2 linked regions of the Yarrowia lipolytica genome follow. The protein of the gene in region 1 interacts with the protein of each later gene in a pairwise test. Links are inferred from orthologs where the notes say so. Each region holds a gene or a part of one and is shown on either strand. Other genes may lie near its edges.

Region 1 (4,190 bases):
ATGCGAGACATCGTTCTGTTCGGTCTCTGTGGAGCTGTGGGCCAGGTCTTCATCTTCCAGACCCTCGAGAAGTTTGGTTCTGTCGTGCTGGTGACCGTCAATGTGACCCGAAAGATGTTTTCCATGCTGCTGTCCGTTGTCTGGTTCAACCACCGGCTGACTCTCGGCCAGTGGGCTGGTGTAGCCGCTGTCTTTGGCGGTATTGGCTTCGAGGCCTGGATGAAGATGAAGAAGAACTAGACCATAACGGAAAAGAATTGCAGTCTTCACCAAAATCAAGGCTGGACAAAGCGAAGCAAATAAAATGTAACATAGCTATTTAATACATCTCTATACCACCTTATAATGACCTATCGTAGCACATCGTAGGTTTCCCCCCAGCTACCAACGACTCATATGCGCTCACATCTACACTCGGTTGGATTATCACCCCTTCCTCGCTTGGTTCGTCTGTTTGTGAATCTGTACATCAATCATAATCTATTACTCTCTATACTCCCCCTACATGAAAGGTTCAATGTTGAACTCGATGCTGGAGGAAGCATAAGGAATCTCAAACTTGGCCAGGACATTGGGATGCAGAATGCCCATCTCTCCAATTACCTTGGCCTCGGCTCCGTCCTTGGTTCGCAGGTGGATGGTGGCGCCTCGGCCGGGGAAGAAGGTCTCAGAGTGCGACTCCTCGATCCAGTAGCCTCGGGAAGTGGACTCCTTGGGGTTCTCGATCCACGAAACTCGCAGCATCTGCATCAGTCGGCCAAGAAGGCCGTGCACAGTCTCGAAACCGGAGGTCTTTCCGGAGTAGACGGCTCCGAAGTTTCGCTGGTTGTACGACTTTCGCTCGAGGGACTCGTCCTTGAAAACAACATCACCGGTCTCAAACACCTTAATGGGCAGCGAGTGCTTCTTGTTCTCTCTGATAGTCTTGAGAATACCGGGGAGAAGCGAGGTTCGGATCACCTGGTACTCCTGTGTCTTGGGGTTGGCAAGGTGCACGGCCTGGCCCTCGTCCTTTCGGTTGAGGAAGGCAAAGTTCTCGTCGTGCGAGCACAGGGTCAGAGGCATCACCTCGGCCCAGCCGCTCATGGCCACCTCTCGTCGAACAATGTCGGACACCTTGTTGATGAGCTGGGGCTTACCGACGGTGGCAGACTTCATGGGGAGGGTCTTAGGCAGACTGTTGAAGCCGTAACCAATGGCAGCGTCCTCCATGATATCGCACTGATGCAGAATGTCGGATCGGGTGGGGGGGATAGCCACGTCAAGCACATCGGGGTTGGAAGTCTTGGAAGCCTGAAGCGACATCTTTGCCAGCAGCTTGATAATGTCGTCGGCAGACAGATCCAGACCCAAGCACGACTTGATGTAGGGAATCTCGGCCTGCATGACTCGAGGTGTCATCTCAGGGGTGATTCGAGTCTCACCATTGTGCTCGGAGACAACCTTGAGAGGTTCGACGGTGAAGGGCTCGGCGCAGTACTCGGAGAAAGCAGCGACAATCTGAGACAGAACAATCTCCAGACGGGTCTTATCGGTTCCAGTCACCTCAATGAAAATGTTCTTGGTGTCGGGAGAAACCTTGGTCTTGTCGGAGTTGATGATGGGGGGCAAAGAGCAGACAGTGTTGTCGTCGCCCATGACAATGTAAGGGTAGACGGGGGCGTCCTTGATAATGTAGAGGAACTTTCCGAGGTTCTTGTCCTTCTCATAGAACTCCATGACTCCCTCTCCGGTGAGCTCCTTGGTCTGGTTGAGAGGCACGAAGGACATCTTGGGGTCGTTGGGCTTGAAGGCCTTGTAAGCGTAGGGGCCATCCTGGACCATCTTGTCAAAGTCGTGGGTACCAATGGCCACCAGCTGTCGTCCACGACAAATGTTGGAGTGCAGCTTCTCCTGCAGAGAAATGAAGGACTCGTACTTTCGCTGGTCGAGGGTCACGTTTCGCAGAATGGCGGCAGCAGCGTAGGGTCGAACCTCCGCGGTCTCGGGGTGAATGGTGAGCTCAAGCATCTTGGAGGGCTTAGTAAGCTTGATCTCGGGCACCTCGGCCCGGCCAAGGAACACATTGAGAGCCTGCGCAATACCCTCGATGCACAGCATGTCGTATCGGTTGGCGGGGATCTCAATCTTGAGCTGGGGACGCTCATCTCCAACGCAGTCGTTGGTGGTGTCCTCGTCCAGCTCGATTCCAAACTCGAAACAGAGCTCGTCGAACTCTTCGGTCGTGTAGGTCTTTCCAATGGCCTTGTACAGGTCCTCTTTGTCCACGGAGATGGTAGGCATGGTTGTCGCGGCTGGGTTTCAAAATCGAGGGTAGCTGATACCTGATCTGTGGTGCTTGATGCACTCGAGCTAGAATGACTCCTAATTTTTCGTTACCCGGCCGACATAGTAGTGTGCTGCATGTGGGCGAGAATCAGACAGCGGTTTGAACGGGGGTATTGGAGGTGATTGGGACGGAAATTGGGCAATTATGATCAGGTGACCGACCTGGCTTACTCATGAAAAAATATCCCGGCATTTCGCATGCCATGCTGACTAATCGGGTCCTATATCAAGTGCATTTCATTCATCGGAGTTAGCCTATTGTCTCGTTGTTGGAGTGAGAGGTATCGTACTCGTACCTGACACTGTAGCTTGTAGAACCTGTTGTGTCTGCGATTTAGTGACTTTGTTCTTCATATTGATGACTAATAGACGTCTATTGATTGACGAGCAATGTCGTTGGTGTTCTTCTCGTACTATCGCCAGTATTGAGTCTGGTAAATATACATACAAGTACATGCTCGTTCAGAAGAAACTTCGGCCAGGAGATATTACGCGAGCGTAAAGTGCATTAATATGTAAACATGGCGAGTGTATTTTTTACTGCCCTGAGTATGAGCACAATATAACTAATTGTTGTATGAATGCAAGTACGTGTGCAAGTACCGGTACTTGTACGTATTAATGGATAGGATGTGTTTCAGTCATAGAAAAGGGGCTGTGTTTGGTTCATGCACGTGCCAAATTTCACCAAGCCGGTACTTGTACATGTACAGTATGTACAGGTATCGTACTATTGTAGGTGCTCTTTTTCGGTCGTCATTTCTTGTCACTATGTGGCGTCCAAAACCCCCTTCTACGAGAATTGTAAGAGTGTACAGTATCGTACCCATATTAACGTGTGTTCGTACGTATGATACCGTGTATATTTAGATTCAGTCAGCCCCTTCAGTGAAGCGAACTACAGCTATGATAGTCATCCACCAGAAGTATTACTCAATATGACCATCCATTGTTATAAAAACTAGTTTGTAAGGGGCGTTCTCGTGGCGTGTAGGCGCGTGCTCGTGGCGTATAACGGTGCCCACAGTACGAGTCGATCTTCTTTTTCCGCGCGCGCTTAGAGGATCACGCACTTCTTCTTCTTCTTGCCTGAAGTGGGCTCTCGTCCCTTGGGGCCAATGAGAGCGGCTCGGGTAGCGTGCTCAAAGATCTCCCGCACTCCGTCGTGGGTTCGGGCAGAGCACTCGAGGTACTTGAGTGCGCCAATCTTCTGGGCCACGGCGTTTCCCTCCTCGGTGGTGACCGGTCGCTGGGACGTTCTTCTGAGCTCCTCGATGGTCTTGGGGTCGTTTCGCAGGTCCACCTTGCAACCGACCAGCAGAATGGGCACGCCCTGGCAAAAGTGCAGCACCTCGGAAATCCACTTCTCCTGCACGTTGTCCAGCGAGTCGGGCGAGTCGATGGCAAAGCAGATGATGATCACGTTGGAATCGGGGTACGACAGGGGTCGCAGTCGGTCGTAGTCTTCCTGGCCGGCGGTATCCCACAGGGCCAGCTCCACTCGTCGGCCGTCAATCTCCACGTCGGTCACGTAGTTGTCGAACACAGTGGGCACGTAGACCTCGGGGAAGGTGCCCTTGGCAAAGACAATGAGCAGACAGGTTTTTCCGCAGGCTCCGTCTCCCACAATGACGAGCTTTCGTCGCAAATCGGCGGGCTGTGCTGGCATGTTTGTATCGGTGTCGGTTTTTTGGTTCTTGTCGTCTGTTTAGAAGCTGGGGCGTGAGAAATCTCCTTTTTTTCCCCTTGCAAAACTAACCAAAGTGTGTAGTGTGTGCGTGTGTGTGTGTATACGTAAATGTAAAGTGTCTTCTTTTTGTTTGGCGAGTGTGCACGGTTCGGACCTCTACCGAAGAGTCTAT
Region 2 (3,680 bases), on another chromosome or scaffold:
GCTGACCACCTGGAACTGTGGTGAATTCAACATGACTCTGACAAGATAGATATGATACCATTATGAGTGCAATGGTACCTCTGGCGACAAAGTGGTAATGTAGGTCCAAGTGGATCCAAGTGGTGAAGTGGTGATGTTAGACCCAAATACAAAAGGACTCAAATCTCTGGATAAACGCCGTAGAGACCTGAAAATGGTACCGTTGGATTCCTCCTGACCAGGCGAGTGTGACAGTGTACTTCGAGGCTACACCAAGTGATTTTTGGTGGTCTTTTCGAGACACAACTGGCGGCGTAGTTCATGGTCATCATTACAAGCACGAGTAACCATTCTGTCTCAATCAGATCAGTACTAGATCATCTGAAATCTCGAACAGCTCGGGGATGTTCATTCGGTCCGAATGTCTCCAGCACATTTCTCAGCCTATTACCACCCTACATCCAACGAAACACACCCAGCTACCTCGTTCAATCTAACATCTATTACTTCTCCTATCCTTCATCGAACGCAACATGGTCGTTGCATCACGATACCATCAACCCTTGCTCTCTTCTTCTCCGCACTTAGTTGAGACCCTCATCCAATCGCACAGCAGGGTTGTTCTCCACAAAGTCCAGAGATACCTTATGACCGAGCAGCTCTCGAATGTTTGAGACGCCATACTTGATCATAGTGGGTCGCTCCAGCGATAGACCCCAGCCGTGAACTCGCAGGTCCTTGGGCAGACCCATGGCCTCCAGCATTTCCGGTCGGAACATACCTGAGTTTCCAATTTCGACCCACTTGCCGAGACCCTCGTGCCAGGAGAAAATCTCCAGCGACGGCTCGGTGTAGGGGTTGTAGGCGGGCTTGAACCGCAGCTGCTTGACGCCCATCTGCGAAAAGAACATCTGCATGAAGCCAATCAGGTCTCCGAGAGTCAGGTTGTAGTCGGCAACCACTCCCTCCACCTGATGGAACTCAGCCAGATGGGTGGCATCCACAGCCTCGTTTCGGAACACTCGGTCAATGGAAAAGAGCTTGGAAGGCTTGGGGTCCTTGGCGAGCTGGTGCAGCATCTTGGCCGACACCGCAGTGGTGTGGGTTCGCAGCACTAGCTTCTGGGCCTCCTCAGGCTTCCAGTCGTACCGGTATCCGATGGAGCCGTAGGCTCCGTCCTCGTGAACCTTCTTGACATTGTTCCAGTACTCCATGTCTTCGGGGAGACCCGCCTCCTTGGGATCCTTGACGTAGAAGGTGTCCTGGAGGTCTCGTGCGGGGTGCTTCTGGGGCACAAACAGCGTGTCAAAGTTCCAGAACCCAGAGTCCACGTACTGGTTGGTGGGCATTTCGGAGAAGCCCAGCGAGAAGAAAATCTGTCGGAACTCCTCCCGCACCTTGTTGAGAGGATGGAACGCTCCGGACTGGGGCTGGACTCCCTCGGCGGCAAAGTTGTAGGGCTTGAATGCCGCGTCCTTCCAGGCGCCGCTCTGGATCATGTCGGTTGTCACGTCGGTGGCGTACTCCTTGACGGTAAGCGCAAACTCGGGGCCCTTTTCAATCTCAAACCACACCTGCTTGACCTTAGTGATCAGCTTTCGCTTCTTAAGATCTTGCAGCTCCTTGGCGTCTCCCAGGGTGCCCGTGGACTCAATGGTCTTAAGATCCTCGGCGGTCTTGTCAGTCACGCTGTCGCTGCTCTTGATCAGCTTGGAGCCCTCCTTCTTGACCCAGCCGTTCTTGAAAGCCCGCTGCTGGCCAATTTTGCCCGACGCTCCCAGCTTGGATGCCACGTCAGCCAGCTCCAAACCCTCCAGACCCTTGCACACCTCCTCATAGAGGCGGTACTCGTGCGAGCCCAGCGACACAATCTCCTTGCCCTCCTCAGTAAGCTCCCACTTGTCCTCCTCCACGGCCTTGTAGGTCACCATTTCTCGGCCGGCAAGACTCTGCAGCGTGCCCTGCAACTGGGCGGTGGTATGGGCGGGGAAGGCCACCCGCGAGTCAGCGATGGGGCCCTCGGCAAGCGTTTTCAGCACTGTGGTCGTGAGATCAGACATGGTGTTTGGTGGTGACAGATACTCCCAGAGTTTTTCAGGAGCTAATCCTGGTTACCCGGGAGTGGTGTGGAGAGACGCAGTTCAACCTGCGCTCCAAACACTTTTAAAGAGTGTGTCAATTGGGCTGAAAACCCGATATTTGAGAACCTGACCGATTCTGATTTCTGATTTCATTTTGTCTTTATTTTTCCCCTTTTTGAAATTGTCCTGTTTTCAAGTTCTGATTCAGATGAGTCAGTCTCAGATCTTTTTAACCATAAGCTGACTCAGTCATATCGTCAAAATTTGATACTGACTGTGAAGAGTCCATTATGGGGCGAATATGAACGATTTTAGATCAAAAAATAACCGGGAAACAACACCAATTCTCCGTCTAAACCAAGTTGCAAAAAAATTGGTGCAAAAATAAGTACTTTGAATGCTCGGAATCAGGTGCAGCCTGGATCACTAAATAAAAATGAGAAATGAAATAAAAATGAGGAAATGAAAAAAAAAAAAAATACAAAAAATAAAAAAAAAAATAGAAAAAAAAAAAAAAAAAAAAAGAACGGACTCCAACTAGAAAACATAGAAAAATTTCTAGACATTTTACAGTTTCCATAAATCCTTAGAAACTCTTCAAAACATTTCTTTCGGTTTTACTACTCTCTCAAATCACTGCTCAAGCTTTCTGCACCTACTCAGGGCACTCCACCAAGACGTTCTCCATTGCTCTATGATCCGGACGAAATATCAATAAAAAAACAAGACCAGTAGATTACACAGTCCAAAAAACCACCCATAAAGACCCTTTAGTTCTAGTAAATACCCTCAATCACCCACAAATCACAGTTGAAATCGCCGGACACGTGACCTGGAGGTTTCTCACTAGTGTCCCAAGAACTTCAACATTTTATCGCCAGCCATCATAGTATAGTGGTTAGTACACCACGTTGTGGCCGTGGAAACCTCAGTTCGATTCTGGGTGATGGCATTCTTTTTCCCCCTATCCCCTTTTTTTTTGTTTTGCTCTGCAACTCCTCTCAAGGCGCATGTATTTTTTTTTCCATATGCACTTGTCGCAGTTGGTTTTGAAAGTAAAAAGGTTTTATTTTTTTATTACTAAATTGAAAGATTTAGTCACGTGACGACGGGATGGGAGACTGATATGAGAAGCGAGTTAGGCTGACTAATAAACCCATAGTTATACTGTGATGTACAGTAAACGTACCGCCAGATATTTTTGTCTGGACAATTCTTGTATATTTGTGCAGTAAAGCTCCCTGTGCATTTTCACTGCTCCAGGTACATTTTATCAATTTCTCACTAGTTAGTTGGATAGAGTCAACTAGAACTTTGATTGTTACTTGAATATGGTCAGAGTGAAAGGTCCTACGTTCTGTCTTGGAGAGTCCCAGAGCGAATCGGAAAAAGTGCAAACGACTCCTGGCCGTGCAGTATTCTTTCTGGTAGAAACACACCACTAGTTATATCAGAATCAGGCAAGACATGTTGCGCCATTTCACTGGTAAACTGCTAAAGTTTCGGGCGGATCTTGCACACGACATTAGATCTACTAGCAGTTCCACCACTGACCAAAAACATGTTTCGAACTTTGGTGCGGATGAACCGGCACGCGCGGCCCAAGGGCACGTCGTCGCG

The links. The genes of interacting proteins can lie anywhere in the genome.
Region 2: the proteins of YALI1_E27144g (region 1) and YALI1_D20473g interact in binary tests that used the Saccharomyces cerevisiae proteins (3 or more experiments, as listed by UniProt). The link is inferred for Yarrowia lipolytica from reciprocal best matches to the Saccharomyces cerevisiae genes FRS1 and FRS2.

What each region holds. Positions count from the first base shown.
Region 1 is NC_090774.1:2,712,132-2,716,321, forward strand, and holds YALI1_E27144g (uncharacterized protein), read right to left. Parts: upstream 2,284-4,190; coding exon 502-2,283; downstream 1-501. Other genes in the region: YALI1_E27113g (uncharacterized protein), read left to right, coding at 1-240; YALI1_E27161g (uncharacterized protein), read right to left, coding at 3,386-3,997.
Region 2 is NC_090773.1:2,045,640-2,049,319, reverse strand, and holds YALI1_D20473g (uncharacterized protein), read right to left. Parts: upstream 2,040-3,680; coding exon 564-2,039; downstream 1-563. Other genes in the region: YALI1_D20457g (uncharacterized protein), read left to right, coding at 3,622-3,680.